2 linked regions of the Arabidopsis thaliana genome follow. The protein of the gene in region 1 interacts with the protein of each later gene in a biochemical or structural test. Each region holds a gene or a part of one and is shown on either strand. Other genes may lie near its edges.

Region 1 (5,140 bases):
CACTACCAGTTAGACAAAAATGAAGTCTAGTAGAGCAGGCATGAAGCCAACATGTCAAATACATACTTGGGGCCTATGGTGGTGCGGTCTAAACATTTAACTAGTGTTTGTGACATATTGTTTCAAGGCTTATAGTTTTGCCAAAGGGAAGGAAGTAATAGAATAACTGAAGACTTCTCTTGGCTTGTGATTGAGTTGTAAAAAGCAGGGGCTGGGCTTGGCCTCCTAGGGGAATCCAGACACTAGAAAAACAATCGTCGATGGAACTCTCAACTAAGGGAAATCCACACTCAATACTACTTGAAGAATCTAGGACGAAGCAAAGGGACCAAAAGACACATTTTTGAAACCCTCTTTTCTTCACGAGACTTTATCTTAAATGGACCCGAATATGGTCTTTGGTTTGAGTGCAGCTTCGGGTGGCTATGGTCCGGTCTTCAGCAGTATGGGACCTTGCGAGGACCACTAAGGCTGGTCATATGAGTCTTGGACTGAACCGGTTGGACTTTATCAACTATAAAATAAAATTATGTATAACAGCCAGAAAAAAAAAACAATAATATAGCCTACATAACGATTTAGAATCCAAATAGGTAACATCAATGATCTACAAAACTTCAGTCCTGGTTAAAGCAAAAGAGTCTAACTCAGAGAAATAACATATTAAGATTACGACACAACTTGGAGCCAGCAGATTTACATGGTACACTACCACGAAAGAGGTTCACTGTTTTAGGGAACAAACATAGAGAGAATAACAAAACTAAAAAGAAGTAAATAAAGAGTTCTTTGCTTCTTCAACAAGCAACTAAAACCAAAACACACTAACTTCAAGACTCCTATTATTACTACTACTTCTTCTGCTGCTGCTGCTGCTTCATCATTAAGATTCCTTGTGCCACACTCTTTCAATTCCCATCATCTGATGATTTCAAGTAAAGGGTTTCTCCACCATCCCCTGAACTTCCTCCTCTGCCTTCACCGCCACCACCACTTCCCATTTCCGGCTTCCCACGGCCAAAATCATGAAACCCACCAGCCTCTCCCTGAAGGATATGGAGACCACTGCTTCCTCCTCCTCCGCTGCTCGAGCTCATTCCAAGCTGGCTATGGTGCAATTGCTGATGCTGAAGCGTCGCGTAAGGCTGCTGCTGCTGCTGTTGCTGAGCATACAACATTGAAGATCGAGCCGCCATTAGAGACTGCTGAGTCATCTGTTGCTGTTGAGTCGCTTGTTGCTGCTGCAAATAGTGTGACCCTCCTTCTCCCTGAATCATCCCACCACCAGCAGATCCATACTAATAACCAAACAAAACAAATCACTTTCTCAATTGATCATACAACAAAATTTGGAATACTTCACTGTATAAACAATCACCTGGCTATGCACACTTGGTGGCTGAGGCTGAGAATCTGCTATTGCAGCTAGGTACATTAGGTTGCGTTGAAGCCTTGCTTGATTCCTATAACCATTTTAATCATCATTTCTTGTTACTCAACAGAACACAAGTGAAATCATAAAGGAGATATGTTGTCTCTTACTCGGCGCATTCGCTAAGCTTTCCAGAGTTTTGAGACTCAACAATCTTCAGAATCAACGATTTGTTTTCGTCCAAGTACTACAATCAAACATTTTCATTAATCATTACTAATGCTACAAACAAAAAATTTGCATACTATTTTGTTTTTGTTGTAATAAAGACATAGAAAATCTCAAAAGGAGACCCCAGTAACTTAAATTCCGACTTATCTCAAAAGACAATAATGTTGAAATATCACAAAAGTGTAACGAAAGATTTTCTTCGAAAAGATTTTGAGGACCACACAAAAAAAAAACTGAGATAAGGACCAGATGTTGTTTCGGACCACAAAGTATATCTGGTCATGTAAGCAATAAAAGAAACACTTGGACTGGAAAATACACATAGATCTACTTATAATGATAACAAATCTAAACAGGACCACCCACAATATTCACATAAATGGCTTTGTGGTTTTTGCCATCAATGAAACTTCCAGAACCCGAAAACCAAGACAAGAAGAAAAAACGAGATATGTGAAACAAATCTTCAGTTCCCAAGATTTGTCTGTTTTGAACACGTTATTTTTCATTACATGTTTCAAGAACTCAAAACACAACTGGACCCTAAACATTCATTTTCATTGAAAGAAAGAATCTTTCTTAACTTTGTCTGGTTTTAGACATTTAATTAGCATCAAAGTTAACTGATAATACACCAAATCTATAAGGAAAAGAAAAAAAGTTGAAAGAATCATCTTAGTGACCAAAGCATCTCTACCAACCAAATTTATCAAACATAAACACACATGTATTAAAACTAATTTCTCTATGAAAAAAAAAGACATGGAAACAAGAATAACAAGAACTCTTTTACCAAACAAAAAAGAACCAATGAAAAAAAATCATCTATGTTATGAGAACAGAAGAAAAGGGTTTCACATACTTTTTTATATAATATAAAGAAAAAGTTATAAGGTACTTGCAAGAGAGATTTCTTCACTTTCCTTTATGAATTCAAAGAAACATATAATAAAGAAAAAAGAAAGAGATAATATAATAGAAGAAGAAGGAGAAGGAGGAGAAGGAGAAGAGAACCTGTTGGATATGATCAGAGGTAACATTGCTGGGGTAGTAACCAGCCATCATGGGCTGCATCTGCATCAGGTGCTGTTGCATTTCTTTTGCTATTTTATATAAAACCTGATAATTCCTTCTTATTTATTTATATATTTTATATATATAAGTTTTTATAGAGACAACCCCCACCACAAAACCCAGAGGAAAAAGAGAAGTCTCACCAAGTGAGAGAGAGAGATATTAACTTTTGTATCTGTCTCTCTCTCTTTCCTCTATGCTTCTGTATATAGAAAACTCTTAACTATTGAAGATGTGTATCTCTGTGTGTGTGTTATCTCGCTTTCTCTCCTCCACAAAAGTTGTTTTGCGTTAAAAGACTGAGAGAGACAGTGAAGTCTCTTAAATAGAAAGAGAGAGAGAGAAGAGAAGAGAGTGTTTTTCTCTTTTTCTTGGGTTTTGGGGTTTGGTTTTGTTGGTTTCTTTCTGTCTCATCCTATCTCTGTCTCTGCGAAGAAGAGGAGGTCACGTGACGAGTCATACTTTATTATAGAGACGTGAGACCTTTACATATATACTACTACTTATCAATATGTACACATTGTTGATTAAATTATTACTTTGAAGTTTGAACCCTTCGTATATAGAGACGTAACTATATACCAAATAATACTGTTTACTCCTTCGTATGTATATACGGTGTATTTACTTGTATATATATGTAATTATGTATATTAAAATCTCTTACAACTTTTGTATAATATTTTCTACATTTATAGATTCATTTCGGGATTTTATAATAAAGTAATGCAAAGTAGGATTTATTGTTTTCTAGATTGTTTTGGTAATTTATTGTTTTCTAGTTTTCTAGTTTTCTTTTACTATATCAAAGAATATTTTTGTCGTCTTATTTTGTTTTGGTAATTAATATATAAAAAAAAGATGTCTTTAGTTTTTCGAAAAATAAGATTCATGTATTTACATTTTAATATAAAAAAATGTTCTACATAGGAGTTTTTAACCTAGTGGATTGAATTTGTATTTTTTTAATAATTTATTATATTTAGTTTTACACAACATTTTTTTTACAATGGTTTAATTTTTTATCATGAGAGGTCACATCTAGATGCGATTCTTCACATTTAAAATAAAATGGATTAATGAAAAAATTAGATTAAGAAGTAGCTATGTGAGATAATTTTCTTTGTAGATGTTTGATTGTGTTGATCAAAAGAGTCTCTTCTCTCTTATACCTTAAAATCATATTTATAGGATTTAATCTCAACCAAATTACTGAATTATGTTGTGACTTAGTCTTCTTATGCGGATTAGATTTGGCATAACTAGTTCCCTAGAACATGTTATCAAAACAAGTGTGTTTGGTTTGTTAGCTTAATGATGTTTTTCATTTTGTTTTAAAAGTAGCGCATGACTCGTCTCGTCTCATCACTAACCATCTTTATGTGTTTTGGCAAAATGCCAAAATGTAAACACATTTCTTACGCTTACCAATAGTTATCTTCTTTTTTTTTTTGGTCTTTTTTTTTTATCGAATCACGTAACACATTATAATTGACTGATATCTTAATAGATGAAATTTATCCTCAACAATGATCAATACATGTTTCTTTTTTTTTACATATGTTAATACTAACTCGATCACTTGTCTCGACCAATAAGACGAGTTATCGACCATCAAAACACTGCCCTAACTTGGTTTGAATGTTTAATATTGATGATTCTCAACCAAAGGGTCTCTAAAGTTTTTGAAATGCTTTTGTAAAGAAAATAATAATAATTAGTTTGGAGTTATTTGATAAGTCTCATTAACTTTTTGTTCGAATTCTTGAAGTACGTTTCGATGGTCGGTAATTTAAAAAGAAAAAGATTCAACAGCTATATTATCTTTGCGTGGTTATACTTAATTCCACGTTAAACCCTCTTGTAGATGTGGTTAAATATTAATTAACACTTTATTCGTTGGTACCAAAAATGGATCCGAGATATTCCTTCTGCATATATGAACCACGGAGGCTCAACTTTTAATGTTTGTTTGTTTAACTATAGTATTATGTATGAACATTAAAGTAATCTGTAAGGATAAATGAATTGTTTTCTTTTCCCGATTAATTATGTCTTATAGACAATAACCAAACCAATAGTGTTTCTATGCCATCTAAAAGCAAACCAAAAACACTAGGAACAAAACTAAAAATACCATTTCTTCTTTTTTATCAGACCAATATAGTTGTTTGCATACTGTAAATTGAGATTATGAAGTTAAAGGTAGGATTCTGAAACGCTTACAAATGATCAATTCATTTTGGTTAATACCTAAAAGAAATATTAAATTTTTACGACATTAATTTTATACTACCTTATTTTCTATATAACAGCCATAAATTTTATAGTTAATGTGAGGTTGATGTTGAATCCTCTTACATAGAGAAAAGTGTTGCAGCAACTTGTAACTTATTATTGTACTATCTTTGACCGATTAATATGAATATTCACCAAGATATTGGAGAACTTATAAATAATGAA
Region 2 (4,547 bases), on another chromosome or scaffold:
GAGTCCCACAATGGGGGAAAGCAACTGTGCAAGAGATGAAAGATAAGTTCATTGCTGTTGGATTGGGTCCTCGTCAGGTACATGATTTTCGGTTTAAACAGAGAATTATCTACTAGGATCACTCGAAGTAACTAACCTGTATGAGGAATTTGTAGCTAGCTGTAATGTCTGCATTCTTGGGTCCTGATCAAGCTGCAACAGAACAGCTCTTAGCTACTGACCCTCAAGTTGCTCCATGGGTTCAGAAGTATCAAAGAAGCCGTGAAACCGTATCTCAGACTGATTACGAGGTTCGTTTTCACTCGATTTGCCTTAATCATATATTCATCTACCTCAAACTCAAGCTCATGTTTTGGTTTATGAATATGTTTGTAGGTTGATCTCATAACTGCATTCACAAAGCTAAGTTGCTTAGGACAGCAAATCAACTTCGAGGCATATACATATCCCGTCGAACGGATCAATCTGAGCAAACTCAAGCTATAAGCTATGTACACTATATGTATAACATGAGAGGAAACTTCGAAATAAACCAAAGATTTTTCTTGACATTGAAACAAAAAGAGAAGTTGAATCCATTACAAACAAAGACACAGAAGATAGGAGTCAAATCACGATAAAATGGAAACAGATAAACGAAAAATAATAGGAATCGAGTTTTCGTATCCACGGTTGAGAAAAGCAGCAAAAAAGGACAAGAATTAGACTGCCTTAGAGAGCTTGGGGATAAAAGGAAATAAGAAACCAACAGAGAAACACCTCCAAGAGAAAAACATATTAATGGAGAGGTTTTAGATACTGAAATGACAACAAAGTTGCGGTAAGACGACTTAGGATTGTTGCTCGTCAGCGGGTTTTGCTGCTGCTGGTGCTGCTTCTTTGATGTCATCAGCAACATCGTCCTGATTGAAAAAAACATTTGACAAGATCATCATAATCAGAATCAGACCACAAGAAAGAAGGATTGAGGAATGTATCAAAATGTAAACTAAGCAACAACTTGATTTCCAAATCTAGTCTCCCTCAATGGCATATATCTTGCTCATGGTTTCAGAAATCACAAACAGGCTTAAGCAAGGCATAAGGAGGAATGCATCAAAATGTAAACTAAACCACTTGATATTCAATTCGTGTCTTCCTCAATGGCTTAACAAGGCTTATGATTTCATAAATTAAGCAACAAAACAGGATTAAACACATTTGACAATCACTAAAATCAGAATATGACCAAGAGAATGCATCAAAATGTAAACTAAACTGTTTGTTTTCCATATCTAGACTTCCGCAATGGCTTAACAAGGCTCATGGTTTCAGAAATCAAGCAACAAAACAGGCTTAAATACATTTGACAATCACTAAAATCAGAATCAGAGCCAGCAGAATGCATCCAAATGTAAACTAAACTGTTTTATTACAAATCAAGTCTTTCTTAATGGTTTAATTATAGGCTAAAAGTTTCAGAGATCAAGAAACAAAAACGTTATTCGTTCATCAAGCAACAAAAACAAGCTTATAAGGCCAAAATATAATACCTAGCAAGATTACTAACACAGTTGACAATCACCAAAATCAGAATTAGACCAGAAGAATGCATCAAATAAACTTGATATCCAAATCTAACTTTTGTCAATGACTTAATTAGGCTCATTGTTTCACAATTCAAGCAACAAAATCAATCATACAGGAGCCAATATATAATACCTGCATATCAGAAGTCCAGAGAGTGAGGTTATCACGAAGAAGCTGCATAATCAAAGTACTGTCCTTGTATGACTCTTCACCAAGAGTATCCAATTCAGCAATTGCTTCATCAAACGCCTAAATAAATCCATAAACAAAAACTCATCAAACACACACATAAACCAACAATACATAATCATATAAAACATCCCTCAGATGAGATCCAAACCTGCTTAGCGAGATTACAAGCACGATCTGGAGAATTGAGAATCTCATAGTAAAACACAGAGAAGTTCAACGCAAGACCAAGACGAATCGGATGCGTTGGAGCCAATTCAGAATTAGCAATATCCTACACAACAAACCAAAATTTCAAAAACCTAAATCACACAAAAATCAAATCACAGATCGGAGAAAGAGATCAAAAACCTGAGCAGCTTTGTAAGCAGTAAGAGTATGTTCAGCAGCATCTTTCCTCTCTTGACCAGATTTGAACTCAGCCAAGTACCTATGATAATCACCTTTCATCTTCAGATAAAACACCTTCGAATCTCCAGAAGCAGCAGCGGGAACGAGAATCGTATCGAGAAGCTTAAGGATTCCGTCACAGATATCAGAAAGTTCCGTTTCGATTTTGCTTCTGTAGTCACGGATCAACGAAACGTGGTCATCGTTACCGCGAGACTCCTCCTTTTGTTCGATCGATGAAATGATTCTCCACGAAGCACGACGAGCTCCGATGACGTTTTTGTAAGCGACGGAGAGGAGATTACGTTCTTCGACGGTGAGTTCGTCTTTGTCAACAGCTTTCGCGACTTTCTCCATGAATTCAACCATTTCTTCGTAACGCTCTGCTTGTTCGGCGAGTTTCGCCATGTATACGAATTCATCTCTTGCTGAGGAAGCTCCTGGTGTCGCCATTGTTGTTTAGATCGGAGAAGAAGATGATGAACAAAGTGAGGAAGAAGAAGAAGAAATGATTCTCAGATCTGAGAGAGTTTTTTTTTTTTTTTATCGGCTCCGTGGATTTTTGTTTTTGTTTATAATGAATGAGTGGGGAGCGATGATTACGGATTGTGAGAAGAAAGGAGAGCCGTTGGATTGAAAGCTGGCAAAAACACGGATTCGTAACGAAAAAAGGCGCTGGCTTTTCAGATACTTTTTAGGTCAAGTTTGAATTTTCAATGATTGGAAAAGGGTATTTCTGGAAATTACTTATTTAATGGGCTTTTTTCCTGCGAAACGGGTTTATTGAATGGGCTTTAAAGCCTATTTTACGGATTAACTCATTTGCGCGTGGGTGAATTAATTATTGAATGGCCCGAATAGGCCCAATAAATATAACGCTTGTATTTTGGTATACTTACTGATTTCATTTTTAATCGGATATCCGATATGAAATATGAAAAATAGAAAATTTAAAACCCAAAGATGGCAATATTTCATTAAGATTTCTTTAGCTGTTAATCTTTAGTATTTAAATATTTAATTTAATGAACGTAATTTCATAAAATTTACAAACAAATACGTCAATCATCGTAAATCTAGTGAGCCGACATCGTTAATTTACAAATATTATTATAAACATTTAATTATCTCTTTTTAAAAAAAAATTAAGAGGACCAACTGTTATAATAAGATATTATTATAAACATCTAATTATTTTTTTTATTTTTTTTATTTAAGAAGACCAACTGTTCTGTTTTGGATACTCATAATTACTATATTTCTAAGGCTATAAGTCCTCATCACTTTAGTAAAAATAAATTTTGTGGATTGGTTTCATCCCCTCTATTAGGAACATGGACAACATCCATTTGCATGTCAAGAAGGCTTTGCATGTCTATGTAAGTAAGTTTTATATTTATTTGAAGATCTCGGTTTTTTTTTTCTTTTTTGTGAGATCATAATTATAATATTCGTGTATTTACTAAAATTTAATTTCTCTATGAAAAAAACTATTTGCTGAAAATAGTATGCACAAAACGTACACACATATCGTTGTTAAACAAGCAAACATGTAGAGTATCGATTAAACGACATATGTATATACACAATTTTCCTGAAGTTAGGATTTTATCAAGATTTCTTTCAAGTTTGATCTTGCAAGGTAGAGAGAAAGCCTCATAATTTGGAGTCACACTAAAGACAATGATAGGTCTTTGAGTCAGAGATAATGGAGTTTTAGGTTGAATAACTAATGCTCTAACCCCTCATATTGGAGTTTCAGCTAGGAACCAAAACATTCAAAAGGAATCAAACACATGGAGAATACACAAACGGTGTTTAGGATGGATATAATAGAGATTACAACCTTATCGAGATTCGCTTTAGGATGCATAAAATAGTAGGAGGCAAGAAGTCAAGAGACTTTCATGGGCATCGATGTAGAAAAAGTTCTCTGCCACAGAGGAAAAACAATTTTAAGGTCCTAGAATCTACATTTCATTAAGGATATATAGTAGAACCGCGAATGTGGTTAAAATTAACCGTTGGAGTGAAGAATTGGATAGGCTTTTGCTTTTCAAACATGAAATCAACAAAGTCCTTTGTAGTTGGGCATATAAGATAGATTCATCTCAGAACTTCCTGGCTCCATCCCAAACAAGATGTTGTAGGACTTATTCCAACGTGTTCGTTGTTTATCATCTAGAAGCGTAAACATGAGAAAAGAGTAAGCATAGATTATAAACAAAATCACAAAGTTTCTAGATTCCACATAACGCTAGGAACTCATCAATAGAGAAGCAGCAACTAAAAAAAAAGCTCACCTTTTAATTTCCATGTTTCTTTCCAAAAACGATCAGTGAAATTACGTATAGCTTTAATTTTTCCCCAAAGCAAGGATTGAATCTTGCGCTAACAAC

The links. Proteins that work in one complex are often made in the same cells at the same time.
Region 2: the proteins of AN3 (region 1) and GRF1 form a complex in vitro, tested with the Arabidopsis thaliana proteins (one study listed by BioGRID).

Annotation. Positions count from the first base shown.
Region 1 is NC_003076.8:10,646,923-10,652,062, forward strand, and holds AN3 (SSXT family protein), read right to left. Parts: upstream 3,141-5,140; 5' UTR 2,699-3,140; coding exon 2,618-2,698; exon of another isoform or gene 2,466-2,617; intron 2,454-2,465; exon of another isoform or gene 1,620-2,453; coding exon 1,543-1,619; intron 1,464-1,542; coding exon 1,379-1,463; intron 1,299-1,378; coding exon 909-1,298; 3' UTR 545-908; downstream 1-544. UniProt on the Arabidopsis thaliana protein: Transcription coactivator that plays a role in the regulation of cell expansion in leaf and cotyledons tissues.
Region 2 is NC_003075.7:5,773,441-5,777,987, reverse strand, and holds GRF1 (general regulatory factor 1), read right to left. Parts: upstream 2,779-4,547; 5' UTR 2,602-2,778; coding exon 2,110-2,601; intron 2,033-2,109; coding exon 1,910-2,032; intron 1,819-1,909; coding exon 1,702-1,818; exon of another isoform or gene 1,617-1,701; coding exon 1,550-1,616; exon of another isoform or gene 1,344-1,549; intron 1,199-1,343; exon of another isoform or gene 989-1,198; coding exon 831-988; 3' UTR 507-830; downstream 1-506. Other genes in the region: TL29 (ascorbate peroxidase 4), read left to right, coding at 1-77, 156-290, 376-486. UniProt on the Arabidopsis thaliana protein: Is associated with a DNA binding complex that binds to the G box, a well-characterized cis-acting DNA regulatory element found in plant genes. Involved in the regulation of nutrient metabolism.